Rhinolophus ferrumequinum: one gene and its partners. The protein of the gene in region 2 interacts with the protein of the main gene of each other region in a biochemical or structural test. Links are inferred from orthologs where the notes say so. Each region holds a gene or a part of one and is shown on either strand. Other genes may lie near its edges.

Evidence for each region.
Region 1: of the proteins of MAPK9 (region 2) and ELK1, one has a biochemical effect on the other in vitro, tested with the Homo sapiens proteins (2 studies listed by BioGRID). The link is inferred for Rhinolophus ferrumequinum from reciprocal best matches to the Homo sapiens genes MAPK9 and ELK1.
Region 3: the proteins of MAPK9 (region 2) and MAPK8IP3 form a complex in vitro, tested with the Homo sapiens proteins (2 studies listed by BioGRID). The link is inferred for Rhinolophus ferrumequinum from reciprocal best matches to the Homo sapiens genes MAPK9 and MAPK8IP3.
Region 4: the proteins of MAPK9 (region 2) and JUNB form a complex in vitro, tested with the Homo sapiens proteins (2 studies listed by BioGRID). The link is inferred for Rhinolophus ferrumequinum from reciprocal best matches to the Homo sapiens genes MAPK9 and JUNB.

Annotation. Positions count from the first base shown.
Region 1 is NC_046284.1:86,334,045-86,341,604, reverse strand, and holds the start of ELK1 (ETS domain-containing protein Elk-1), read right to left. Parts: upstream 3,013-7,560; 5' UTR 2,911-3,012; intron 2,868-2,910; exon of another isoform or gene 2,867-2,867; 5' UTR 2,830-2,866; intron 1-2,829. Other genes in the region: protein UXT, read right to left, coding at 4,243-4,296, 4,502-4,565. UniProt on the Homo sapiens protein: Transcription factor that binds to purine-rich DNA sequences. Forms a ternary complex with SRF and the ETS and SRF motifs of the serum response element (SRE) on the promoter region of immediate early genes such as FOS and IER2.
Region 2 is NC_046307.1:3,355,570-3,362,831, forward strand, and holds the start of MAPK9 (mitogen-activated protein kinase 9), read right to left. Parts: upstream 3,005-7,262; 5' UTR 2,845-3,004; intron 1-2,844. UniProt on the Homo sapiens protein: Serine/threonine-protein kinase involved in various processes such as cell proliferation, differentiation, migration, transformation and programmed cell death.
Region 3 is NW_022680357.1:3,490,157-3,497,768, forward strand, and holds the start of MAPK8IP3 (C-Jun-amino-terminal kinase-interacting protein 3), read left to right. Parts: upstream 1-4,590; 5' UTR 4,591-4,718; coding exon 4,719-5,036; intron 5,037-7,612.
Region 4 is NC_046301.1:48,779,444-48,785,863, reverse strand, and holds JUNB (transcription factor JunB), read left to right. Parts: upstream 1-4,066; 5' UTR 4,067-4,361; coding exon 4,362-5,405; 3' UTR 5,406-5,900; downstream 5,901-6,420. UniProt on the Homo sapiens protein: Transcription factor involved in regulating gene activity following the primary growth factor response. Binds to the DNA sequence 5'-TGA[GC]TCA-3'.

The DNA of each region.
Region 1 (7,560 bases), on a different chromosome or scaffold from region 2:
ATGTCAATAGATACAAAGGACTTAGAAAAGTATTTCTGACACGTGGTAGACACTCAAGAAATATTAGCTATTAGCTAGTGTGTCATCCTTTTCCCTTCCCAAGCCCCTTTCCCCCAACCTTATATATCACTGTGACCTGTACCACCTGGCTCCCGATACCTCTCAGATCTCACCTCCCATACCTCCTTCCACTCTGGTCCAGCCACACTGGCCTCCTTCGTGTGCCTTGAACAGGCCAGGCACAATCCCACCTCAGGGCCTTTGCACCAGCTGCTCCTTCTGCCTAGTAGACTCTTCCACTAGACATTATAGCTCCCTTCCTGACCTCCTTCAGGCCTTAATTCAAGAGTCACCTTTTAAGTGAGGCCTGCTCTGCACTTAACATTTCCACCAACTTAATATTCTATCCCTGCCTTCCCTACTTCATTTTTCTTCCTTAGCTCTTGTCTAACATACTATCTAATTTTACTTATTTGTCTTATTTATATAGTCTGTCTCCTCTACTTTTAGCAAATCTCTGTTCCACAAGGGCAGGAATTTCTGCCTATTTTGTTGCCTCTCACATCCCCAGCACCTAGAAGAGTGCCTGGTACTCAGCAGGTGCTCAATGTTTGTTGAATGAACAGTCCCAACTAACTAGCCTCTTAACTAGCTCTCGTGCGCCTGCTTCATATCCATTCCCCCCACCCTGATTTGTCTGAAATTATATTTTCCCCCACTCGTTCACGCAATAAACTCGTATTGAGCACCTACTATATACTAGGTATATTTTTAGGTGCTGGAGACCTCCCAGTGACCAAGCAGACAAAAACTGTAGGCCCTCATGAGACTCCCATTCTAATGGGGAGAGACAACACAATAAACTTCATACAGTGTAACCGATAATGATAAAGGGCAAAGGGACAAATATGGCAGAGAAGGGGCCTGAGTCCTGCGAGGTGTGCAGGTTCAGATGGTTAGGGACGCGTTGATGTTTGAACAGAGCCCCGAAAGGGACCATGCAGAGATTGGGGAGTGTTCTGGGTAGAAACAACGGCCAATGTGAAGACCCTGGGGCTGGATCGCATCTAGTGTGTTTGAGGACAAGTGAGGAGGTCGGTGTGAATGAAACAGAGTTGGGGTGTAGGAGGTAAGGCCAGAGAGGTGACTTTATTAACTCACAAGTATTCTTTATTTACACACTGGAGGGGATTCTAGCTCTGATCCTCCCATTTTACAAACGAGGAAACAAGTGCAGAGAGAAAGTGGTTAAATCACTAAGGACACAGAGCTTCTGGGATTGGGGGTGGATGGGTGCTGAGACAAGGTATGCAATGGAGACAGCTCTGCAGGCAGAGGAAATAGAAAAAAGAAAGCTTGGAGATGGAACTAATTTGTTTTTTAAGGAGTGGGGCCTCACATGGGATTGGATAAAGTGAGAGAGGGGAGCCTCAAAAATTATCCTGTGTTCTGAGGGGCACCCTAACCTGGTACTCACTGGGTCTCCTTTGAGTAAGGCATTTAACCTCCCTATGCTGACGTTTCCTCAGTACCTACCTCGTAGGGTTGTGGTGAAGATTAAATGAGCTCATTAATATAAAACACTCTGCCTGGTCCATAGTAGGTACTCAATAAATGTTAGTCCTATTAGCATTATCACTATTTCTAATTATTCATTTACTGTAGTGAGGCAGGATGTCCTAATGGTTAACAGTGTGCATGAGGGTATGTGTTCTAGAGTCAAAAAGACCTGGCTTCAACAAGCACATGAGCTGATCCACTATTAAGAAGGAGGGAGGAGGTCAGGGAAGCCCATGACTGATTCACCACAAGGAAAGGAGGGGGGAAATAAAAGTACATAGGCCGACCCTCCTGGAGGAGGGATCACAAAGCACTGGACTCACAGGAGGGGAGGGGGTGTAAATGCAAGGACACCAGTTGCAGGAAGGCTAATGAACAGGTCACTGCAAAGGCAGGGTGGTCGTGGTGGTGGTGTAAAGGCTCATTTTATTTACTGGGCCAAGGGGGGCAGAAAAGCACATCGACACCTGCACAACAGTGGAGAGGGGGAAAAACCATCACACAGACTAATTAAAAGGAGAGGGGGACAAGACCATGGAGAGGCTACTGAAAATAGGGAGAGACAAAGTACTAAACTGATCCACTATTAAAAGGAAGGGAGAAGCCCAAGGACTGGAGTGTCAGTCTACAAAAAAGGGAGGACAGGGCAATGGGCTGGTAAGCTAGGGGGATGTGAATACAAGCATGTACACTGACCTACTGGAAAACGATGTGTGCATATGCGTGTGTGTGATAAAGCCATGAACGGGTACACTGGGGGATTGGAGGAGGGAAGAATACAAATTCATAGATTAATTTACTGTCAAAGAGGGGTGTATGGGGGGGCGGTTTACAATGCTACAGATTGATTCACTATAAGGAACAGGAGGGGTGGGACAAAGAAGGCCACTGACAGGGTCCCTGAAAGTTGAGGATAGGAGAAATACACTAAGACAAGACCTACTGTCAAGAAGTTGGACAATGCCAGAGACTGGTCCCCTATAAGTGGGGGTGGGGGCAAGACCATGGACGAGTCCACTATAAGGCAGGGTGGGGAAAAATATAAGCACGCAGACCGATCCACTATAAAACAGGAAGGGGGGTTAGGCCACAGTTAGATCCAGTACAATAGGGAAGGGACAATGCTACAGACAGGTCCACCAGCCGTGGTGGCGGCGGTGGGGAGTCTAACAACAGTAGGCCACGGGCCAAGCCACATCCCTCTCGCTAGGGTGGGAAGGATACGTGGGGTCACTGACCCGGCCCTCTACCCTCCAGGCCAAGGCTCACCTGTGCGCAGCGCAGCAGTGGTGTTGGCAGCTCCGGGGGGCGGGGGCTCCATGCGCGGCCCCACCGCCCCCCAGGCCCGGGCTCCGAGGCGGCGGAGGCGGCGGTGGCGGCGGTGGCGGCGGCAGTGGCGGCGGTGACGGCAGCGGCAACACCTAACAGCCACCCCTGCGTTTCCCCACCGCTCACGTGGGCCCGTAGAGGAGGAGCCGAGCATTCCGCTGCTCGCTGATTGGCTAAACGCCATGGATTGACCGCTCGACTTCGGGCTGGGGAGGCGGGCCCTACCCCATAGAGCTATGCCGTGATTGGCCCAAGAGGAACTGATGGAACGCAGATGGCCGCCAGGATCCCAAGGGGGCGTGCTTGGCCCCGCCCGTGCTACACTCTGATTGGCTCAAGGAAGACTGATAGACCCTGAGCAGTTGACAAGGTTCTGGAGGCGCCTACCTCGCTTTGATTGGCTTATATGTGATTGATGGAAGACAGACCACCTCTGGGAATAGGGGTTAGGTGAGCGGTGCTTTCTGATTGGCAGATGAGGACTCCTAGACAGCTGCCAAAACACGAACGGGGCGGTGCTGCACTCCAGGCTGGTCCCCGGAAGCAGGACTTGTATAGAAGTGGGAGTAGCCAGCCGGGAGGGGGGTCGGGCCTGGGCAATGCGTAGGCAGGGAGGGTAACTCTATGATTGGCTAGAAAAGACGAAAGGAAGGGAGAAGCCCAAGGAATTTAGAACGGAGCAGAGGTAGGAGGGGACGACAGCTGCCGGACACGCAAGGGAGCGTTGAGTGGCGGGAACCAAATGCCAAAGAGGGCTGGGTCGAGCAGCAGTCAGCTATACAGGGACGGAACTTGGCTCTGCATTGACTGGAAGCTGGTCTCAACTTAGAATAGGGGCCGGACCAGGGAGGGTGGGATCCGGCTCTGCGCCCATTGGTGGAAGCTGGAACTTTATAGAAGCAGGAGCAAGGCCAACTTGGGCCGAGACGGCCGTGGGTGTAATTTAAGGTATCCGAGAAATGACTGGGGTGTGGGAGAGGGGTAAACCTTAGGGCCAGAAGTGAAAGGCTGATTACCTTGGGAACAAAACTCCACTCTGAATCGGTCCATTCTCTATGGTAATTGAGTGGTGTCCAGGAAAAGAAAGGTCAGGTGGGGGCTCAGGTTGCCAAGGAGACAGAAGAGCTGGCAGAGCAGTAAGTCAAGTAGCAAATGCTGCCAGGTAACAGGATGGCAGAGAGACTTCAGGGGCACTTTAAAGGTTCCACACCGAGACTGGATCTCTGGGCCTCCTAGCAATTTTGTGGTTCAGAAATAGGCACCTCAGCAAACAGCAGGGGTTAAAGGGGAAAAGAAGGGCCATGTGACTCAAAGGCATTCAGGCTCTTTAATGTCTGGAGAGGGGGGAAGAAGTCAGTGGTGAGGGTCCTCTGGGAAATTCTGCAGGCCCTGTAGTTCTCTAAGCCCCTGAAAAAGAGGACAAAAGAGATAGAACAGAGAGTGGGTCCAGGCCCCACCCCAGGCTTGCTCTGACCTCTCCCTCAGAGCCAGCTTGCTTCTAACTTGGCTCCAGGTCAGAGATCAGATGGACCTTCCAGTCTCTGTCTCTCTCTTCCTCAGGTCACCACCCTAAAAGCATGTGGAGTCTCGGAGTGGGGTGAGTCGCTCTCACCTCTAGCATCATATGGATATGGGCCTTGATATTCATGGAGTCCTTCGTGAGGCTGTCGCTGAGCCTGGAGAAAAGAAACAAGAAAGTACAAAGTGGGCCCCATGATCATGAGGCTTCCTCATCACTTCAAGAACAACCTACATCCTGGATGACTTCCACACGGCCTGTGGCAGGACATCCTACTACCTGACCTGCTCCCATGCAGAGATGCCTGGCCACCATATGGATTGCACTCATTCAAAGACGTTTATTGAATCCCTACTCTATGCCAGGCAGTTTTAGGTACTGGGGAGACAGCAGCAAACACAACAAACAAAAATCTCGGCCTTGTGAAGCTCCAATTCTCATTAAGAGGGACAAATGATGGAATAAAATACATAGTATGTCAGATAGTTCTAAGGACAATGAAACAATTAAACAATGGGAGGATAAGGAGTGCAGGAGTGAGGGCTGCAATTCCGAGAAGTGTTTGATTAAAGACTTAAAATGAAGTGAATCATCTGGATATATGGAGGATAAGTGTTGCAGACACAAGAGGCAGCAAATGCAAAGGTGCTGAGGTGCAGGTGTACCTGGCATGTCTGAGGCACAGCAGAGAGGCCAGTGTGGCTGGAGAATAAGCAAAGGTGAATTGTAGGAGGTGAGGTCAGAGTGGTAAGCAGGGAGACAGATCGTGTAAAACCTACAAAGCCACGGTAAGGACTCTGGCTTTTACTCTAAGTGGGATGGGAGCCAGGCTGTCATCAGAGCAGGGATGTGAAATGACTAGGGTTTACAAGGATCCACCTGGCTGCTGTGTGGAGAACTGACTGGGGAGAAGGAGAGATGATGTAGAAGCAGGAGGTCCATGGAGGAGGCTGCTGCAACAGTCCAGGTGCGAGATGGAAACTCAGACCACAGTGGCAGCAGTTGAGGCAATGAAAAATGATTGGATTTGGGATATATTTTGAAGGTAGAGTCAACAGCTTTTCAAAGGGTTGGATGTTGGCTGTAAGAGAGAGAAATCAAGCAAGACTTCAAGGCCTAAGCAACTGGGAAGCCGGAGTCGCCTGAAACCACTCTGGCCCTGGACTGTTGAGTTACATAAACCAGTCGATTCCTTATATAAACCAATTGGGATCAGTTTCACCCAAAAGAATCCTCATTGACACAAAGGGTCAAGGAAGGCCTTTCTGAAGAATGAAGTAAGAGTTAAAAAGTAGGAGGGTCTTTTCCACAAAAAGTCCAAGAGGCAGGAAAGAGCTTTTTGAGGAACAGTCAGGAGGCCGGAGTGTTAGAAATTAAGTGAATGGTGGAAGAAAAGTGGTACAAGATAAGGTCCAAGAGGTAGGAAGAAGCTAGATCATACAGGATCTTGGTATCATGATAAGGAATGTGGATTTTATTGTGCTGAGCTGTTAATGTAGGAGTCAGTTTTAGGGAAACTAAATACTGTAAGGAAAGGAGAAGGCAACACAGGATGCTAAATTGGAAAAAATATTACAAACCCATTTATACATCAGTATCTCCCAAATTTATGTTTTCAATCCAGACCTCTCTCCTGAACTCCAGTCTTGGGAGTTTTTTCGGGGTTTTTTGCCTTTTAAATTTTTTTTTAATTTATTGGGGAGACAATGGTTAGTAAAATTACATAGGCTTCAAGTGTACAATTCTATAATACATCATCTATATACCACATTGTGTGCTCATCACCCAGAGTCAGTTCTCCTTCCATCACCAAGAGCCCCATTACCCTCTTATATCATCCCCCTCTCCCCTCACTTACCTTCTGGTATCCACCAAACTGTTGTCTGTCTATGAGTTTTTATTTATCTTGTTCTTTTGTTGCTTTCAGTTTTATATCCCACATACGAGTGAAGTCATATGGTTCTCGACTATTTCTATCTGACTTATTTCACTTAGCATAATAATCTCAAGATCCATCCATGTTGTCGCAAATGGCACTATTTCATCTTTTCTTATGGCAGAGTAGTACTCCATTGTGTATATATACCATATCTTCTTTATCCAATCATCTACCATTTGCAACAATATGGATGGACCTAGAGAACATTATGCTAAGTGAAATAAGTCAGACAGAGAAAGATAAGTACCATATGATCTCACTTATATGCGGAATCTAAAGAAAAGAATAAGTGAATGAACTAATCAGAAACAGTTTTGGAGACAAAGAAGAAAAACTGAGGGTTGCTAGATGGGCGGGGGGGTGGGGGTAAAGGGGAAGGTGAGGGGATTAGAAAACAATCAGTAACCACAAGATGGCCACGGGGTTTGAAAATTAATCTGGGGAACGTAATTTAGTGGTTACCAGAGGGTAAGGGGGTTGGGGGGTGGGAGATGAGGGTAAGGGGGATCAAATATGTGGTGATGGAAGGAGAACTGACTCTGGATGGTGAACACATAATGTAATTTATAGATGATGTGATACAGAATTGCACACCTGAAATCTATGTAATTTTACTAACAATTGTCACCCCAATAAATTAAAAAAATAAAATAAAATAAAGTTAAAAGTAAAAAAAATAATAATAATAAATAAATAAATAAAAAGGGAAGTTTCCATTGTTCACAAGATTAATGATAATACATCCATTTTATCATTGAGTTGGATTACAGACAATAAATTATATATGCATTTGTGAGCATGTGTATATATTATATATTGTAAATATATAAATATATGTATATGTGCATAAATATATATGTGAGAAAGAAAGAGAATAAGAAAATATTAACAAGTTGTGTACTGAGTAAAAAGTATAGGGGTGTATTTTACATGGCTTCTACAATTTTTCTCTAAGTATAAAATTGTCTTAAAATTTAAAAAAAGTTTTAAAAAGTAAATACATGGAAATTTTTCATATAGTCTCCATTATTTCTAATTCAAAAAAAAAAAAAGTGATGTATGTACTTTGATGTTCATTGCAGCATTATTTACAGTCTTGGGAGTTTGAACTACATCTTCAAAAACTACACTTCAGTGTTTAACAAGCACCTCACACTTAAAAGGTCCTAGACAGAATTCCTGATCTTCTCCATCTCAGATAATGGCAACTACA
Region 2 (7,262 bases):
GCACCTTGAGTCTGACCAAGCCTTGTCTAGATCCAACTATGAATTTTCAGGAAACACAGAGAAACACATTAAATGACATTGCATAGATGTAATCAGGAAAATCCAACAACAGAAATGCTACAGAACAACCCAATCGCTTCAACAAATAAAATACAAGGAAAACAAAAACAGAAAAAGAGGGGGAATCTACAGATTAAAAGACATTTAAAAGACCTATCAACCAATCACAATGTATAGACCTTATTTTGGATCCTGATTCCAATAAACAAACTATTACAGAAACTCTAAAATGTATGGGACAATGGGAAATTTGAATATTGACTGGTTATTTGGTTATATTAATTTTTGCTTTTCCAAGTTTAAAAGAGTCCCTATCTTTTACAGACATATACTGAAAAATTCACAGATGAAATGACCTATATAGAATTTGCTTGAAAATAATATGGAGGGTGAGGGTGTAAGTAGATGAGATTAGGGATGAAATAAGATTGACCAGGAGTTGATAATTTTTGACACTATTCTGTTTTTTTGTTTTTTGTTTTTTGTGGTTTTTTTTGGTATATATGTTTGAAGGTCCTCATAATAAATTGCTGAAAGAAAGGCTGGTGTTGAAATTAGTTCACACAATCACAAAAGGCCAAGTACAAATTGTAATCTACCAACAAATTATGTAAAGTCCTGGTATCCTGAAAATTAAATCCTCAGGAAAATCAAAGTTCTCCATAGAAGAGAACCTTTGATCCTTCAATAATCCTATGCCAAAATAGGATTATTGTTAACCAGGAAGGATCCTTATGAAGGAAAAAATAAAGAGTTAAATGAAGGAAAACACCTAGATTGGATGTTGTTCTTCCAGAACAACTTAAAAGCCAAAGAATACTCACAGCTGAGGGACCCAGGAAAGAATGATGATCTGGGGGAGACCTGGGTTCAAATTTCACCTCCCAGTAACCTGCAGTAAAGCAGACTACTGAGATTCTGTGAGTCCCCATTTCCTCTGTAGAAATGGGTTTCATAGCTGCCACTTACAGGGCTCCAGTGACAAGTAAATGAGAGTACCTGGACAAACTAGCTCCCTTGGCCTCAGGCTACCTTTCTAGCTCATTACAGCTCTTCCCGCCTCAGTAACTTGCCCTAGAAGTTGATAATCCTGCAACCAAGCTTAATGAAATGTTTTTTGCTTGGCTCACAGAATTAAAAAAAAAAAAAAAGGCTAAATTAGCTACTGCCAACAGTTAAAAAACTGGAGAGTAGAGTTACAAATTTAGAGTTCAGGCTTCTTTTTAAAAATTACTGGGTGAGGTCTGGTTCTCGAGTCCCGTTCCCCCCTGCTGCCCCCCAATGTCTTACAGGTGGCCCTACGGGCTGATTCTTGACCCCACACTCGCTAAGCTCCCTCCTTCTCCCTGCCCTTCTCCAGTTCTTTGCCTCTCCTTGCCTGGCAAATTTCTCATCACCCTTCAAGGCCCAACGCCAGCATCACCCGTCACATTCCCTACATTTCCGTGGCATAATCCCTCCACTACAGTGGGCATCACACCGTCCTGGCACTGTCTGCGTGTCTGCCTTCATGGCTGCATTCTCCGGCTCTCTAGAGGAAGGGACCTTGTCACTATTGCCTTTGTGTCCCCAAGGCCGAGCAGAAAGCCTGACCTAAATAATGTAGAATTCAGTAAATGCCTCCTGAATGTGTGGAAGGAAATTAGAGCTAAAACATTATAAAAATGTATGATTTTTCTATCATAGCGTGTTCTGAGTGTTACCAAATAAAGGGGTCAAGAACATTAAAATGTTTCACAAAATGAGAACAAGCTTCTATCTGCTTCCATGTTTCACAAGTTAGTCGGAAGTCATTAAGTGAACAGATAAAGCAGAGGTAACAGGCAGGCAGGGTCATTCATTCATCCACTGAACTGATACTACTGAGTATTTACTGTGTGCTTTCTAAGCACTGAGGATAAAGCAGTGGGTAAATCAGACAACTACCTGTTCGCACAGAGCTACTGAACAAAATGATAGATAAAATGACTAAGGGATGAAAGAGGGTGGTCAAGGAAGGCCTCCTGTTAAATGAGACATCTGACCAGAGGAAGAACCAGGAGCCAGATGTGCAGATCCTGGAGACAACTGCAAGCACTGGAAACACCAAGTGCAAAGGTCCTAAGGTAATGGGGCTGCATGTTTAGGGTAGGTGGCTGGGATAGGAAAGCAGTGTTCTGGTCGGGGTTGGAAGGGGAGGTGGGTGGGACCCACTCTGGTCTTGCTGGGTACCGAGTGAGCAATGACGAGGCACAGGAGGACGGAGATGGGGGACTCTGGGAGGACGGTGAGGGGTTCCTGCCACACTCACACCGGCAAGGGGCAGTGCCCCGCCCAGTTCTCCAGGTTTGTGCACTGAGCTCCAGCCCAGGCGCTTTCCCACACATTCATAGAGCCTGACAACAACCCTGTCCCAAAGGGCAGGCACTTCCCCACTTTCCCGAGGGGAAAACCGAGAACAGCGAGCGTCAGTGCCATGGCCAAGGTCGCAGGAACCAGACCCGGCTCCTGAGCATCCCGGCATGGGTGTGCAGCTGCGTGCCGCACATTCGGGAGAGGTGGCGCCCACAGACCCCACCGGGGGCCGCTAGGAGCCGTGCCAGCAAGAGCCCGCAGCCCCGGGCTGCTGACAGCCGGCGGGCGGGGAGACTGCGGTAGCCCGAGGGACAGGGGCAGCAGACGGGCCTCCAGCGGCCGCAGACCCCGGCCACACCGCCCACGCCCCCCGCAAACCCTCCCGCCGCCCTTCCCGGCGGGGCGCGGCCCGAGCAGCCCCCGCCAGGCCTAGCCCGCCGCCGGGCTCACCTCGCCTCCCGCCGCCGCGCCGGGGGAGGGAGCGAGCGGGCAGACTGCCGGCGCTGGCGGCTCTTGCCCCGGGCTCAGCCGGCCACCCCGCCCGCTCCACCCCGCCGCCGCCGCCGCCGCCGCCGCCGCAGTGGGTGTGAGGGGCGCCGGGGCGATTCGACCCTTCCGGTCCGGCTCCCTTCGCCACCGCCACCGCCACCGCCGCCGCCGCTGCCGCCGCCGCCGGAGCCCCACCTGAGCGACCCGCACGCTGACCAATCATCGCGCCGAGAAGCGGGCCGGCGCGGCCAATGGTACCGGGGGGCGGGCCGCTGCCGAGGGGCGGGTTGCTGCGGAGCGTCGGGTGGAGCCCGGCGGGCGGAGACCAGGGCTCGGTGCGGGTTCCCGTGGTTCGGGCGGTGCGCGGGGGGTCTAGAATTGCAGACACGATCCGGCGTTCCCACTGAGTGTGCTGTCCCCCACGGGGTTCGCAACGCGGTGGCTGGATGCGGAGCCGGGAGGCGGCGGACCGGCGGGACCGAGAGCCGGGCCTCGCGGCTGCAGGTGCAAACTAGCAGCGACGAGGCGGTCTGGAGGGGGACGGAACGGCCTGGAGGGGGAGAGCCAGGGGCCTCGGTGCTCAGGACCCGGGCGTGTGATGGCTCCCGGGAAGCGGAGGCGGGGCGGCGAGGGAGTGGGGAGGAGAGGTGGGTCCTTGGACTCGCTGTGAACCGGATTGTAGGGATGCGGCCAGAAGCGGGGGTTGGGGGGTGGGATGCCGAGGAGATGGCCATGTGCAGACGAGTGTCCCCTGCCGGTCATTGGCAGAGGGAAGGAGAGAACAGGCCGGTGCACTTGGTCAGAGGTCAAGCCTGTTTCAGAGGAGGGCAGGGTCGTAAATGGGGGGAAGTGAGTGCAGTGCTGAGGGCCCCCTAGGGCCTGGGGTCGGTTGACATTGATATTTTGAGGCACCTCCCGCAGCCTTGCAGCCCCTGGGTCGAGTTCCAGACGGCCTGGCATCCTCTGAAATGATGGGAGAGGCCAGGGTACTGGGTGTTGCCCGGTCGTTTAGATAAACAACGGTGGAAATGAGGCCAGGAGGCCGGACACATTGGGGGTGGGGGTGGGGCGCAGAGGTCCTTAGATGGGGTGAGAGGACTGTTGGAGAGTAGCTGTCACAGGATGTCTGGGCCTACAGGGTGGCCAGTGTGGTGGACAAAATGGGGAAAGAAGCAGCACCTTGCATATGGGGAGGTCAGGAGACAGGAGGGTATGGAAGGTGGTGACAGAATTTGGGGAGGGCGGCAAGCCTGTGACCCAGAGCAGGCTGGGGGCACCAGAGCCTCAGAGGAGGGGTGGGGTAGAGCAGGGGATCCAGCCATGCTATCTCTCTTAGGCCCCCCTCCTTGGCCACCAGAGGGAGTTTTCTGAAATTGCGTATGGCCTGATCGACTTCAAATTGGAGCTCCTGAGTGTGACCTGTATTGAGGAGGGTCCACAAAGGTCCTCCCACCCCTCAGCCTCACCTGCCACCTGCCCCAGGTGCACAACAGAAAACAGGGAAGCAAAATTTTCACCATCAAGGCTTATGGAAAACTAATGAAGTCTGGCTGTCAGCTGTGATTTTACCTGGGAGCACTTCTGGGTGCTTCCCCTCAGATTAGGTGGGACACTCATTCCTAGACACTCCAGCCCTGAGTTTACAGCACTCACCCCATGCAAAGTGAATACCAAAAACCATTGTACATACATAGACACCTGTACGTATTTAACACTGAGTTTTCTGAAAGGGTTCTGTTTTTTTCTGGTTTGTGAAATACAGTGAACAGAGCAGTGACGGTTGGTCCATGCTTGAAAGAGTGCGCAGAATTTTGAGGCCAAGAAGCGAGAAGATTCTGCGGCAAGTGTGATGAGAATTTTAGGACGTGAGAGCTTTACTGAGGGCTGATGGAGCCTGCCAGGTGGGAGAGGCAGTTGAGGAAGGCCTCCTGCTCAGGAGGAAGCAAGCCCCAGCTGAAGCTGGGAAGGCCGCAGGAATGTGCTGGGCCAGGGGTTCAGGTGGAAAGGGCATTCAGACCCAAAGGTTCAGAAGTGAGGACCTGCATGCTGTGTTCAGGGAACCACATCACCTGGTTTTGCTGGAGACAGGGAGTGGGGGCTGGAGAGTTATGAGAGCCTTGAGGTGGAGGGCAATGCTGACTAGAGGCCCCTGAGCTGGCTTCAGCTCAATTATGCCTTGTTTAGCCCAGAGAGGCTTTTTTGTTTGTTTGGTTGGTTTTTTGTTGTTGTTGACTTAGTTGCCAACATTTAAAAATTGGGAGCTTTCACTTAAAAAATCTCAATTATTGGTTTTGCTTAAAAAGTTAGAAGTTCTGGCAAAATGGGCCCTGCATTTCCAGAGGGCAGTGATCAGCTGGAACTGAGTGGCACCTACTACGTTTTAGGCGAGGCCCCTCGTTTACCACAGTCCCCTCTACTCCCTACTATCCACCCCGGCTGCGACTTCACTCATCCCTTCCCTGCTGGCCCTTGGGCCATCACAGGGTGGGAGCCCTGGCTGAAGAGGTAAAGAGCAGCTGTTGAAGGGTGTTAAGAAAGGAAGTGAATAATGTGATTAGATATTTATTTTGGAAAGATCACTAGGGCACATGACATTTCAGGGATGAGGGTCTCAAGGCCACAAGACCAATTAGGGATTTCTTACAAAGGCCCTTGAAAGAGAGAAGATGAGGCCTAGCCTGGGGCCATGGCAGTAGGTGTCAAGAGGAAGGAACTGATCTTAAAACTATTTCAAGACTTTAGGGAAATGCAAATTAAAATCACAAAAAACTACCACCACACACCCACTAGGATGGCTATAATAAAGACAATTATCAACTGAATGCTCATACACTGCTGGTGGGAAAGCAAAATTGCATATCCACTTTGGAAAATAGTTTGGCAGTTTCTGATCACATTAAACATATACCTACCATACGACCCAGCTACCCTTTTCCTAGGTGTGTATCTGAGAAAAATAAAAACGTCCACGCTAAGAGCTGTATGTGAATGTTTATAGCAACTTTATTCAAAACAGTCAAAAACTGGAAACAACACATACGTCCATAATCCAGTGAGAGGTTGAACTGTGGTACGGCCATCAGTGGCTTCTCGAAACCTGGCCACAGGAAGGACTGGCCTGCTGACAAGAGCACAATATGGATAAGTAACAAAAACAACATGCTAAGTGAAAGCAGCCAAACATAAGTGAATTGTCTATGAGTCCATTTATATGACATTCTGGAAAAAGCAAAATCAGATCAGGGGTTGTCAGAGGTAAAGTGGGGGGAGGGGAATGACTACCAGGAGCCAAGGGAGTTTTCTGGGATGATGGGTATGTCTATATTTTAATTATGGTGGTGGTCACATGACTATTGTTTGTCAAAACTCAGAACTGTACACTACAAAATGGTGACAATGTATGTAAATTAAATAAACTTGATGTAAAGAAAACGTTTAAGAGGTGGAATTGTCAAGTGTTAGAGGTGGGATGGGAGGGGGAGGGGGTAGGGCTCAGAGAGGACGCCATGCTTCCTGGCTTGGTTTTCCGAGTGAGGACCTGGGCTTGGCCTGCTCATCCTGCCTAGAGCAAGGCCTTTGGAGCCGACATCCCAGCTGCCCACGCCCCGCCCCTCCCCCCTTCCTGTCGCCTTCAGCTCTGTGGCCCTGGCTGGGTGCCCTCTGGGATGCAGGCTACTGCCTCTTCCCTACTCCTGAGACCTCACTGCCCCTCCCTTCCCTGCCCTTGACTTGGCTCCTTGGTGGCACAGCTGGCAGACATTGCCCACCTCCCCTTCCCACACGTGGCCTCTTCACCAGGGAGAACACAGGAGGAAGGAAGAGCTCTACTGCCACTTCCTGGGTGGGGGGTGCCAGGGGTTGCAGTGCTGGGCTGGGGGCACAGTGCTGACAGGTGTCCATGGCTCCGATCTCATCGTCTGCCCTTGACTGGCCTGGGTTCCAACAGGGCTCTCGACTTAGTTGTGCTTTTCTGAGCACAGCATTCTCTTCTCTGAGCCTCAGCTCCGTGGGGAGTGGGCATGGGTGGTGGTCCCAGCCCGATGGGGATGCTGCAAGGACTCAAGGGGAGAAGTGCCAAGTGTGGGGCACAGACCAGCGAACCATGCGCACAGTGGGGTCAGTATGCTCGTGATGGCGTCCTCCAGCCCCTCCCCCACCCCTTACCAGGACCACAGATGTGTAGGGGATGCAAGTCATGACTTTTTCAGGTGTGTGTTTTAGAAGGCCACGCCACACTTAAGCTGATGGGGACAATTACTGAGAAACTCCTGCATTGTTGCATGGGCGTTGGGGTGGGGTGGGGGAGGCAGAGGTAGAGCCGGCCTCAGGACTACAGGCTGTAGAGCCAGGCTGGGGCCTTGGAAGTGATGGGCAAACTG
Region 3 (7,612 bases), on a different chromosome or scaffold from region 2:
GCTGTTAAAAGTGCCTACAGAGCTAATAATGCCAGGTGCTAGAACTGTCTTCGTCGTTATTAAAATTGAGAAAAGCAACAACTGTTCAGTTACATTCACAGTGGCCGGGCGACACACTTAAGTGCCTGCACGAGCCGCCTGCCAAGCCCCACTTCTTACAGCCCCACTTCTTGAGGGCATCCGCATGTGGCTTTGTCAACCAAAGAGTCTTCCCTCCTTTCAGTTGCCCTGCTGTCTTTGGAGCCAAGAAACACTCACTCCATGTGACTTTGTCAAGTACTTCCTGTCTCCATCCTTCAAATGGTCGTTTATAAGAATATTGTTTGGAATTCGGAGTATTTGTTCCCCCATTTCAAAATGTCATAAATGGCAGTGAGCTTTTAAGCGCAAACACACTAGTTTAACTTATAATGAAATGTTCCAATGGTGGAAATGAACTGCAATTTATAACTCTTATTTTTTAATACAAGAGAGTGATTTGTGGATTCCAAATTGGGTTGCCAGAAAGAATCCTGACACTGGTGCTGGCCCTTGGGGTTTCACCCCGACCCTCACTGTCGGCGGAATGAGAGACTCTAGTTGTGTCCACTGGCAGCGATTTCTGGGGTGGAGATGGGGGAATGCAGCGATGGGAAGAGAGGCCTGGTGGAGTGAGGGAAACGCGCTATAGGAAGAGCCTCTGGGCAGCAGTGACAATTCCCTGCCTTCTGTTTCTCCCCATCTTCCCCCCCTTTTCCTTCCTGGGGCTGCAGCAGTGCGTTTAGAGTGCCTGGGTGGTCTGGTCACCGTGAGAGGCAGAAGACAAGTTTGTGCTCACATGAGCCCCGGTAGGGGTGGTCACCTGTATTTGGAAGATTTGTTAACTTTTAGCATCCTGCTCCCAACCTCTAAGCCGCATTGAGAAATTACCAGTCTGTATTTTTATTAAGCCTGAAAAACTTTTTATGTGCATTTGGTGCCAACTTTTTTTCTAGGGCTGTATCAAAAACAACAAGAAAGCTGTACTCACCTCACAATGTAATTTTGATAGGAAGACTTTGTTACTTTTACAAGGTGGAATTGGGTATAACAGTTGAATAAAACTTAGCAATCAGGTACTCAGCATCTTTGCCTAGTGTGTGTGTACCTGCGCTTTCCTCAACATCTATTCTCCAGAGTGCCTGACCTCTGCTCCTTCATTGATGAAGGGGTTTGCCTTTTTTTTCTTCCCCCATTTAGCCAGAGGATGCCCAAATTAATCTCAAAGACTATAGACTTAGATTTTTTTCATTTGAAAACCAAAGACTTAGCTTTGAGTAGAATGAGCGGGAATATGCAAGTGTTCTTTACAGTTTCTATAAGTTAAAGATTTTTTTTCTCTTCCACCACTTTTTCCCTTAAAGAACTGAAAGTATTGAACTTGCCTCTGAGTTGGCTTTGAAATGCTCCAGTGACAAGCCTTGTAATAAATAGATGAGGTGCTGAGCTATTAGCATTTGCTTGTAGGTTCAAGCCCTGCAGAGAAAGCAGATTGAACATCTTTCCTTCTTACAGTTATTTTCCTATGCCCTACAAGCAAACATAATGTACATATGATGTGGGTTCAGGAGGCTGAAACCTCAGGCTTCCCACCTGGAGAGTTCCCCTATAAGAGGCTCCACTATTCTGCCTGCTGAATCGGGGCCGACTACCAGGACAGCACTTCAGAAAGAAACCCAACATGAGGTTCCCAACACAGTCTCCATTTGTTCATCTGAAAACATGTTTCGGGAGTGCAGAGCTTGTTCCAAGAACTGGATTAGGCTCTGGCAGCATTACATTACCTATTTGTAGCAGCCACTCCAGCTGCAGGTTAGCACTGAGGTAGTGTCACAAGCTGTTTGTCTCCAGAGGTGAGGCAATGGCTAAGTCTGAAAGGACTAAGGTAGTTCCATCTGTGTTGTGGTGGGGGTGGGGGTGAAGCACATCAGTGATTGCCACTTCAAGTCCTGTGCCTTGTTCAGAAATAACACTGGCTCTTTTGACAGGGCATAGCTTGTTCTATTATCTTTGGCAATCAAACCTTTAAGGGTGTGTATACCTCCTGTGTTACCCAGTTCATTTCTTCTGAACGCACTACGTTCTTAATCTTGAAGCATTCTTAGAGATTAAGAATGAAATATTCCTCTTTCATGTGTGACTAAAAAGTGCTATCTAAAATTAAACATTAGGAAGAAGTGAGGGACATTACAGGGACCTCAGTGACTTTAGCAGGGATTAGAGGCAGATGCTTAGAAATCAAAGTAGAACTTTTCAAACCTGTGTGCCCATCTTACATTTTAGAGTCTTGTAGTGAGAAAAACAAAGTTGTATTCCAAATTATCTTTACAAATCTAAAAGGAAGCCTATTAAGAAGTAAGTTCTAATTCAGTTAGTTTCAATTCTCGGGAGTGTTCTAGTTGCATTCTAAAGTAAGTATAAGGGCGAAATTCAGGGAATCAATAACGCAGTTAGACTTAGCTGGTTTGTAGTTTAACTCACTGCATAGCTTGCTATCTAGCCACCTGTAATTAGACTTAGTTTGCAGTTTGAGCTATCCCGATACTCATGTTTTCATTTCTCCCCTCACTGATTAACTGAAGAACTCTGTTCCCTTGCTGAAGACTACCCTACCTCGTAAATGAATATCCTAATCCGGGAAAGAGCAATTTCTTAATCCTCAGGCGCCCGGACGCTGGAATCCTATTTACAACTTCTTGCAGTTTTTACTGGTTACGCATTAAAGTGTCAGGCCTCAGTGGCCGAGTTCGAGTCCAGAGTCCGGAGATAACATCGTCTTCAAACAGACTAGGCCCCAGGAAGGATGTCAGCCCTAAAACCTACCAGACTCCCCCTTTCCTATATAGAAAAAGCTAACCTGAGGTTGGTATAGCTATCTACTCTAAGACTCTGGACTCTGTCGCGGCGACTCCCACTCCCGTGTTTCTTTCCTTCCAAGGCAGCTGTCATCTTTGGACACTGCCATGGGCATTCTCTCTGCACTAACTTTAATAAAAACTTCCTTTGTAGAGTCTGGGACTGCTTTCACCTTTTGCGAACGACCAGGGGTTAATTCCGTGCCACGACAGTAAGCATCAACAATTATCCAGCATATCATCTTAAAACTTCATTTTGATTTAACCAATCGCAAGGAACAAATCAGTCTAACCACGTTAGTAATAAAAACATAAAGTTGATGGCCAACTCAGTTGGCTTCTCATTGGGGTACTGGCAGCTGCCAGAGGTCAAATTGCTGAAAAAGGCCGAAGGCTGAAGTCTTTAAACATTCCTCAAAACATTCTCAAACTTTCTCTGTAACTTGCTCACCAGCAAGAAAACATTTCACCTGTTTGTCCTGGCTCATTTTGAGGATATTGAACAATTCTACATAACATTTATCACGTGCTTCCCGTTTGCAAGAGACGTTTCTAAGCCCCTTTCATGGATTAGTTTATAACATTCAGAGTAAGTTGGTAATGTTTTTAGGCTCAGTTTTACGGTTTGGAAATGGAAATTTAGGATCATTAATGTACTTAGTAGCTAGGATCAAAACCCAGGCAGTCTGAATCAGACTGAAACTTCACTTTACCTTTTAGTTAGCAAATTAGGGTGAGCAAATTAGGCTGTAAGGGGAAAACGTGTGTGCTAGCGTTTAGGGCAAGTTCACTGACTGGGTGCAATCAGAGTAGGATGAGAGGATCTTAGGATGAACTGACCTCGAAGCATTTTGTTAGGTGAAAGGCAGGGGTGAGAGCATTTCTGTTAGCGTGAAGCTGTCACTAATGGGCTTTTTTTTAAAAAAAATTAGAATTTCACACTACCAGTGTGGCCTCCAAGCTGAAAGTTGAAGTCTTGGGTTCATGCTTTCAGAAAATCAAATAGGACAAATAGAAATGTAACATACAACCGTTGAAATTTAAAACTCAGTGGATGAGGTAAACAGCTAACACACAGCTGAAGTGAAACTGGGAAATCGAGGGAAGTGACACAGAACGCAGGACATCGAAGCGGACTAAGTGAAAGCTTGTTCCTGGATTTTAGGATGAGACGGACAGCTTGCACGTGACAGGAACCCCTGGAGGGACAGTGAATCGTAGAGCCACTGTTTGAAGAGCTGGAGTGCTCCCTGTGTGGAGGGTGCACTACTGTGTAGTAAAACTGAAGGGAAATCAACCAGGTCAGCACCATCACCACCTCGAGGGGTGCACAGAAAGAATGTCCGTTTCTCAGTAAGGGAGGATGGGTGCACGGATGCTCGTTTAAGTCTTTAAACCGCACGCAACCGTCTATAGATGCTCTTGGGACAGATGCTAAGTCACTTTGAAAGTGAGCCGGCGTCTGGGAGCTGCAGGGGAACGCGATTAAGGCGACAGGCGCTAGCGGCTCGCAGCGCGGACAAGCCTGACCGGAAGTGCACCCTGCCCGGCTCGGCCGAGCTTCCGGCCCAGAGACCACCTTCCTCGTACGTCACGGCCCCTGCGACCCCTAGTGGCGCGGCGCTGCGAGGCCGCGGCGAGACCGGCGGGCACCACCCCCTCTGGCCGGCGGGCGGGACTTCCGGCCGCTGAGTGACGGGCGCAGCATCAGGACCAGCAGCAACGGCGGCGGCTGAGCCCTGAGGCGACAGCGGCTGCAGCGGAGGCCACGGGCCGCGGGCGACGGGCAGCCGGGGCGGACGCGCCGGCAGACAGCGAGCCGCGCTGGCGGCGGCGGTGGCCGCGATGATGGAGATCCAGATGGACGAGGGCGGCGGCGTGGTGGTGTATCAGGACGACTACTGCTCCGGCTCGGTGATGTCGGAGCGAGTGTCGGGCCTGGCCGGCTCCATCTACCGCGAGTTCGAGCGCCTCATCCACTGCTACGATGAGGAGGTGGTCAAGGAGCTCATGCCGCTCGTGGTCAACGTGCTGGAGAACCTGGACTCGGTGCTCAGCGAGAACCAGGAGCATGAGGTGGAGCTGGAGCTGCTGCGCGAGGACAACGAGCAGCTGCTCACCCAGTACGAGCGCGAGAAGGCGCTGCGCAAGCAGGCCGAGGAGGTGCGTGGGCCGGCCGCGCGGGGACCCGCGCGGGGACCCGCCCGGGGACCGCGGACTCCCCGCCCCGCGCCGCCCGGGCCCCCCCGCCCCGCCCTCGGCCCCGCCCGGGAACCCCGCCCCGCCCGGCCCCCAAATCCCCGGAGCCCGGCTCCCCTTTCCGTCCTCGCCTGGTGCTCCAGCCCGGGGCTCGGAGCCCGGAGCCCTGAACCCCCAGGCGCCACCCAGAGAACTGGCAGCCTAAAAAAGTCCCGAGCCTCTGGCCAGGCCTCGGTCTCCTCTCCGATACCCACCTCTCACTCCAGGCGCCAGTTCTTTTTGCGTTTGTGTATATTTTGCAAACCAGTTTCCTAGACCCCAATTACTCTCTCTGGTTACTGCATTTCTAAACCCTCCCCGAAAAGGGATTTCTGATCTTACGGTTCTGCAGCGGGAAGAGGGTCTGTTGTCAGGAGATCTCTTCCTTGTCCCCACTCCAAGGTTTTGAAGGTGTGTGACATGGGTCAACTTGATAATTGGCGTAAACACATAACGAAAGCCACAGTTAGTTCGGCTGCTCCGCTGGCACCAGGTGAAAGACTCCAGGTTTCTGGAGGTGATTTCTTTGCCCTGTAGTTCCCTCAGTTGGGAAGGGAGATTGTTAGCTCTCTGTGGAAAAGGTGAGAAATTCCAGTCTGGCTTCTGAGGAGCTGGAAGTCGAATTTTGAAATATTTGTGTTCTAGGATATCTCTATAACCTGGAAGTCACTTATTTGTGAATCCGTTAGAGGAACTGTGCATTGTAGGGAATACCACTTAAGTTCGTTGATCATCAGATACTTAGCGCTGACTAAATCTGTGCCAGACCCAAGGGGACTCAGGGGACGTGGGTTCCCATCCCTGCTTTGCCTCTGTGACCTTGCCCACGTCTTCTGCCCGCTCTGCATTTTGATTTCCCATCAGTTGAATGAGTCACTTGCTCTAGATTTTCTCTAAGCTCTGACATTCTGTTATTCCAGGCATTAGGTGATGCTCTTTGATTTATGAATAGGAAGTTTCTTATTAAATGAGCTAAATTCCTTTGCAGTTAGTTTGGCTGAATGCATTCTTGACTTCAGCACTGAAGTCCAAGATTGTTTCAGTATTTCGCCTTTTTCCTGAACCAGAGTGGTTTATGCCTTAAGCCCAGTTTAAAGCATGTTTATGAAGATTAACAAGGTCTTGTATTATTCCTACTTAGAGTGATTTGTTTTGCTTTTGGGTTTTATGTGTCTGTCAAGAAGCTGTTGTCTATTGATTGGGGTGCCAAGCTCCAACAAAACTGAATTAAAGCTCTCAAGGGGATGCAAGAGCTCGTAGGATTTTTGAGTTCAGTGTGGTCCTAGACATTTACTGGGGAAGGAACTGGCTCCGTGAATGTGGTGGGCGGCCTGGACCAAGGTCCCACGTGCCAGCAGAGCCAGGTAACGACCCAGTCTACCCTGACTTCTGGCCTCGGCTCTTCCTTCCGTGTCATGCTGCTGTGGAAGGTCAGAGAGCTGCACCCCCAGAGGACTGGAGGCTGGGGCTCCCCTCGCCCACCCATGGGGCTATGGCTGCCTGCCTAGTTGGGCAGTGCCCTCCACTTCTCTGACCACTTTCGGTAGCCATTTGATGCCTGGGGTTTCAAGTAGGTTTGTTTTCTTTCATCTGCACTTATGTGGTCTGTACACAGTGGATGAGAAGGAACTAGAAGGGAAAAACCAAGATGGACACTCTTGAGGCTAAGAATTGTAACCTTGTAGCTTAAGAATTAGCTCTGCATGGATGCGGTCTCTGCTCTGCTCTGTGCAGTTCAAGTGCAGCCACAAGCGAGTGTACGTCTGGCCTCCCACCTACACTCCCCTGGACTGAGCTGGGGGCAGGGGTGCCGGGGTGCGTGTGGTTTGGAGGAGACTTCCTCTGAGGCTGAGACCCACCGTCGCCTGAGCTATTAGGAGCAGCTCCACAGAGCTTCCATGAAGCAAACAAATGCTTGGCCAGCCAGCAACGAGGCTCTGATTAGATGTGATTAGATGTCCACCCGTGGAAAGACCTCAAGTGATGTTATAATTAAAGAAAAGGGCCACATCCTGTCACCATTTTGGCACGCTAGCTCGTTCATGAAACCCAGCAGACATGCATGTTTAGTTTTGTGGAAAGGACCAGTGTGCACTGAATTGAGATCACAGATATGTATCTGATAACACAGGAGCTGGCAGGCACGTCACAAGCTATAGGCATGTTCGTGTTGCAGAGTAGCTCCTGTGTCCCGGCCACTGTGCTCTGGAAGGCTTAGTCAGAGCTGGGTAACCTGAGCTGCCAGCAGCCTTGTGAGCAGACAGAACCTGCAGATTTTTTTTGAAAGGCTTGAGCAGAGCAAACAACCCTGTCCTCTACTTTTGCCCGTAAAAACCGCAGCAAGAGATTGCAAGTATGTTCTGATCCTGGGGTGGCTTCTATGTCCTGGGATGGCTCATTGCATAGGAGTGATGGTAGCTAGAGATACTGGGGTCCAGGGAGAGGGCCGAAGCCCTGGAGTCCCCAGATGCAGGCTTGAGTGCCACCAGCCCTGCCCTTGG
Region 4 (6,420 bases), on a different chromosome or scaffold from region 2:
AAGGGTTCCTGGGGGAGGGCCTCTCTGATTCTCAGCCTCTTCCTGCCCAGCTGCCTGTCCACACCCAGGGGCAGGGACGCGGGATGTTGGGTGCTGTGACTTGTGGGTTCTCGCCCTGTCCTGCCCACCAGCTGACTCACACACAGCCCCCAGCCCAGTTTCCTGGTGAGGGCTCCACTGGTCAGTGGGGCCGGGGGAGGGGGGTCACCAGGCTATTTATAAGAAGGAGAAGTCCCTCATGTCAGGACCAAAAGCCCCAGAGAGACCCGTGGGTGGGGGTGGGTGAACTTCCCCCTTATCCTGTCCCCCCACCCCATGCCCTGGGCCCCTGGATGTGGGGGAAGCCTGGGCACAGAGTCCTCCTACAGATGCTGGTCTGGAGCCCAGGGGCTGGGCAGTCCCCAGCTGACAATCTGGGCACCCAGGCCAGGCGGGGGAGGGGGCTATCCTCACACCCTCTTCACAGGGCCCTTGGCGCCAGTGGGGCGGCGTGAGGGGGTGGTGCCCAGGCCACAAGGGTGAGACTGGCAGGGGCCTGGAACCGGCTGTACCAGCTCAGCTGGGCCCCCGCCCTCCCTCGCTGGCCTGATCCCCACCCCCTGTTCAAACACCCATGCAGAGTACATGGAGCCACCCGACCCCACTCCAACATGCTGGGCTGTCTCCCCACCCACCAGCATCTCTCCATCCTGTGCCCAACTCCATTGCTCTCCAGATTAAAGGAGACCCTTCATGAAAGGGTCTACAGAGCTTGGCATCCAGTTGGTACTGCATAAAAGCCTCTCTGCTTGTGATTATTCACAGTGTAGTGGCTAATGCTCTGGATCCAGACAGCTAGGGTTATATCTCGACTCCAGCACTTATAGCTGTGGGCCATCAGGCAAGTTCTTTACCTTCCTGTGCCTCAGTTTTCTTGTCTGTTAAATGGGGGTACATAGCATGCATTTCTCTGGGTGGTTGGAAGCAGGCAATGAGTTATTCTACGTAAACCACTTAGAAGAGTGCCTGGCCCATGATAAGAGCCATGTAAGTGTTAGCTATTAAAATAATAATTACTATTTCTCAGTCTGTCTGCCTATCTTAAGTGTCTGAATCTTGCTGTCTGTCTGCATGACGTTAACCTTGCCCCGGGTTTGTCTCTCTGGCCATCTCTCCCTGCCCTGACCCCTGCCTTCATACACCCACTTTTCCTTGCTGAGTCCTTGCCCTCCATCTGGATCCTCTCTGGGCTGGCCTCACCTCTTTCCAAGACTCCCCTGGCCTGGCCTGCCTCAGCACTGGCCAGGGCTGACTCACTGTGGCCTCCTGGCCTGTGAGACCTGCAGGTTGGCTTCGTGAGATGCTGCCCTCTGGCCAGACCTGCCCAGCCCCCCAACCTTGCCTACTGCACCCCCGCAGGGCCCAGGCCAGATGTCAGCTGCAGTTATTAGCATGGGCGGGAGACATAGGCCTTGGCAGCCTGCCGGCCAGACTCAGCGGGCCGCCGGAATCTCCCTTGAGCCTGGGGCGGGGTAGGGGAGCAGTTCAAACAAGGGGAGGAGGGAAGGGGGCAACCAGGGGTCACAAGGACCTCCAAAGACCAAAGACAAGGGACACCCCCAGCTTCTCATGGGACCTTCCTCCCAAGCACCACTGCTCTACTGGACTTCCCCCTACCCCCACACAGCTCAGTTTCTCTTTCACCTCTTTCGTTTTCCTTCTCTCCCCCACCATTGGTGAGCTCTGTGCCTGTTGTACAAAAACTGGCTAGCTCCATCCTCAGCCTCTACCCTAAAGAAACTTCCATCATTCCAGAAGATACAGGCCTCTCAGAGAGAGAGAGAGACTGAGCTTCTCACCTCTTGTTCTAGTGGCTCACATCCTAACTGCTTGGAAGTCCCACCTTAAGTCTAACTAGAAACCTCACCATCTAAACACCCACTCAGTCCTTAACTGGGGAAGGGGCTCTGGGTTTCCCCAGATTCTTCCCTTGGATTCTCAGGTCTCTTCTGACTGGAGGGAAGGGGAGCCCTCAGATAAAAGAGATATCCTGTGGAGGAAGGGAACCCCTCCCAGGTATTCTGGATGGTTGACGGAACCCCCAAACAAAACAAGAGTAGGGGCGCTTGCTCACATGAGTGAAGGAGGGGGCATCCCAGCCCCTAAGGGTGTTTGTGGGGAGGAGTCCCACATCTGGCAAAAAGGAAGGTACCCGCCCGAGGGAGGAGGCAAGCCTTGCCAGCCCGCCCAGGCGCCGGGGGCGCCTGGAGGCACTGACCCGCCTTCTCCGCGCCCCGTCGGGCCGGGGGCGAAGTCCGACCCAGGCCCGCGGACAGGCGGGGACCTGCCGGGCTGGGTCGGGCCAGGCCTAGCAGGACGCCGCCCCAGAGCGACTGGGTGGGGCTGGGCCAGGCGGCCGTGGGGGCCCGGAGGCGGCGGCCGAGGCTGGTCGGGACTAGCCGTCCGGGGGCCCCGGCGCGCCCTGGGACCTGGCAGATACCAGGGCTCCCGGCTCCTGGCTCGGGTCCCCGGGACAGCGCTGGCCCCACCCCTTCCTGTGCCCTTATATGGGCGTCAGGGAGAGACTCCCGGGGATCGCCCCGCCCCCAGCCAGCGCACGGACTCTGGCCTGTTGCCATAGCGACCAGGCCCGCTCTTGGGTGCGTCCCCCTCTGTCGGGCCAATGGAATAGTCCCCGAACTGTCTGCCTCCGAGATTGCGGGCGCCACGGGCTGAACCACATTGCTGGGCGGGGGGAACAGTGACTGGAGGCCTCTGCAGCTGGGCGTGTTCGGCGCACCCAGGCCTCAGCAGTGGTCGCGCTCCCAGGTTCCTCATCCGAGGCGCAGAACCCCGCCGGACCCAGGGCGGGGCGCACGGTCCAGTAGGATCCGAGTGACGGAGGCCGGGCTGGGCTCCGTTCCCCAGGGCTGTTGCCACATTTCCTGCCGCGAAGCTCTTCCCAGGCCTTTTCTAAGGAAGGAGTGGGGTTGGGTGACCGCGCCCAGGCCGGCGGGCTGGGTCCAAGCACCAGGAGCCGACTCGGTGTCGGTCAAGCCCACGGTCACTGGGGAAAGGCTTTGGGATGGGGACAGAGTATACAAAGACCTCAGCAGGAAGGTCACCCAAAAGAGGGGGCTCCAATCATGGAAGATCCAGCAGCCCAAGTCCCCAGGATCCTCAAAGACCCCGCCTTTCCTCATGTCTCAACCGGGGACCCTCTGTCATTGGCATCTCAGCTCTGAAAGTGTGCTCTGACCCTAATTCTACTTCATCAGGGCTTTGCAGATGTCTCCAGTGACCCCCTTTTCTACCCCACATATTTTCTCTGAGTCAGTGTACCCCAGGACCCTCACTCACTTTCTGCATATCTAGATTCCCCTAGTGTCCCCCCTTCCCATTTGTGGGGGACCCTCTGTCTCTCCCATGGACTCCAGGACCCCTACTCATTTCTTGCATAATGGGTCCTCAAGCCTCTCCCAGTGTACCCTTTTCATTTCTCCTCCTCCCCAATTTTCCTGGATTCAGTCGCTCCCATGAAAATCCCAGTCCCTCAACCCCTGGTACTTGGGACCCCCACACAATTCCTGTGTCAGGCCTCTCTTTACCCCTTCCCCTGCTTAACCCTTCCGTCTCTCTTTTATGGGGTCTCCTAGCGTATTCTCAGCTTTCCAACTCCTTTTGGATACTCCGGGTCCTTCAGGTCCTTCTATGTACAACCTGGGACACCCCCCCTCCCCAAACACACACACACACACTTGCTCTGTATCAGTTCCTCATGTCCCTCATCGCGTACTTCAGGGGTATCATCATCCACCCTGGAGCCCCTCCTCGGGTGCCTCGGACCGCCCCAGCACCCCCTTCCTCGCGCGTCCCGGGGTCCCCTGAGCCCCTCCCCCTACAGCATAGCCAAGCCACCCAGCCCGTGGCCGCTGTTTACAAGGACACGCGCTTCCTGACAGTGACGCGAGCCGCCTCCTCCCCTTCCCCACGCTCGAGGAGGGGGGCGCGGGGGCCCGGCTCGCGCGACGGCCAATCGGAGCTCACTTCCGCAGCTGATAGTCGTGGTATAAAAGCGTGTGGCTCTGGCTGAGCGGCCGGTACCTTGAGCGCGGCAGACCAGCGTCTGAGCAGCAGGGAACGGGGAGCAGGGGTAAGCGACACGGAGAAAGCGAGCGCGCCAGAGAGGGGCAGAGGGGCTGGAGAAGCCGCACAGAGCTTCCGCGCAAGGCGGCCGGGTGGCCTCTCCCGGCGGGTGCCGGCACCCAGGGCCGCGCGTCCAGACAGTCAGTCCAGCCACCGCCGCGGACAGAGCACCGCTCGCAGCAGCGAGGCCCGGGGCGGCCCCGCAGGGACCCCCCCAGACCGCCCGGGCCGCCCGGATGTGCACTAAAATGGAACAGCCCTTCTACCACGACGACTCATACGCAGCGGCGGGATACGGCCGGGCCCCGGGCGGCCTCTCTCTACACGACTACAAACTCCTGAAACCCAGCCTGGCGCTCAACCTTGCCGACCCCTACCGAAGTCTGAAAGCGCCTGGGGCGCGGGGCCCCGGCCCAGAGGGCAGCGGTGGTGGCAGCTACTTTTCCGGCCAGGGCTCGGACACAGGCGCGTCGCTCAAGCTCGCCTCATCGGAGCTAGAGCGCCTGATCGTCCCTAACAGCAACGGCGTGATCACGACGACGCCCACGCCCCCGGGACAGTACTTTTACCCCCGAGGGGGTGGCAGCGGTGGAGGTGCGGGGGGAGCGGGGGGCGGCGTCACCGAGGAACAGGAGGGCTTCGCCGACGGCTTTGTCAAAGCCCTGGACGACCTGCACAAGATGAACCACGTGACACCCCCCAATGTGTCGCTGGGCGCCAGCGGGGGCCCCCCGGCGGGGCCTGGGGGTGTCTACGCGGGCCCGGAGCCGCCTCCTGTCTACACCAACCTCAGCAGCTATTCCCCAGCCTCTGCGCCCTCCGGAGGCGCCGGGGCCGCCGTCGGGACCGGGAGCTCATACCCGACGGCCACCATCAGCTACCTCCCACACGCGCCGCCCTTCGCTGGCGGCCACCCGGCACAGCTGGGCCTTGGCCGAGGCGCCTCCACCTTCAAAGAGGAACCTCAGACCGTGCCTGAGGCGCGCAGCCGCGACGCCACGCCGCCAGTGTCCCCCATCAACATGGAAGACCAGGAGCGCATCAAAGTGGAGCGCAAGCGGCTGCGGAACCGGCTGGCGGCCACCAAGTGCCGGAAGCGGAAGCTGGAGCGCATCGCGCGCCTAGAGGACAAGGTGAAGACACTCAAGGCGGAGAACGCAGGGCTCTCCAGCACTGCCGGCCTCCTCCGGGAGCAGGTGGCTCAGCTCAAACAGAAGGTCATGACCCATGTCAGCAACGGCTGCCAGCTGCTGCTCGGGGTCAAGGGACACGCCTTCTGAGCACCCCTTCCCCGTACGGACATTCCCCCAGCCTGGACGGCTGGGCGCACGCCTCCCAAGGGGCAAGGGGGCAGGCGGTGGGCACTTGCCCCGGGGTATGGGGGCGGCGAAAACCACACTGGACTCCTGCCCGCCGGCTCTGCGCCCAGTCCTTCCACCTCGACGTTTACAAGCCCCCCTTCCGCGTTTTTTTGTATTTTTTTTTCTGCTGGAAACAGACTCGATTCATATTGAATATAATATATTTGTGTATTTAACAGGGTGGGGAGGAGGGGGCGATCGCGGCGGAGCTGGCCCCGCCGCCCGGTACTCAAGGCTGCGAGGACTCAAGGGAGGGGCCCCGCCCCCTGCCCTCCCCCCCTGCACCGTACTGTGGAGAAGAAACACGCACTCAGTCTCTAAAAAGTTTATTTTAAAATGTGTTTGTGTGTGTGTGTGTGCGTTTGTTCTGACTTTTTATTGAATCTATTTAAGTAAAAAAAAAAAGGTTCTTTATTAATTTCTGTTGTCTTTTTTTTCGAAGCCGGGCGGGCGGAGGGAGGAGAGTGTTGAGCTGCCCACACCCCACTGCTGTTTGTGGCTCGCTCCGGTATTTGTGTCCCTTCGCCAGCTCTGCCCAGGCATTTCGCAGCTCCAGCCCGGGTGTCCAACCCTCCTCGCGTACCCTGATCCCGGGGGCTGGAAAGTCCAGGGCGCGGACCGGGCCCAGCCTCCCAGGACCTGGGAGCAGGATGCCTGGGGCGAGATGTGCAGTGCGCAGGCGCAGCCCCGTCCACTGGCTCGGGCCGGGGCTTTCCCCGCTGACGCAGCGGAAGCGCTGCCCATATATGGGCCGATTCTGCCCAGTGACGCGACGGCGGTCTCCGGGCAGATTCCGGGAATCCCCTCCCCCGCTCTGCCCGGCAAGGCCGCGGCGCCCGGAAGGAGGCCGGGATTTTCCCAGGCGGGTGGCTGCTTGGGCCCGGAAAGCCCCAGGCCTGAGTCCAGAGCGTCCACGGTGGGCGGGCCGCGCTCT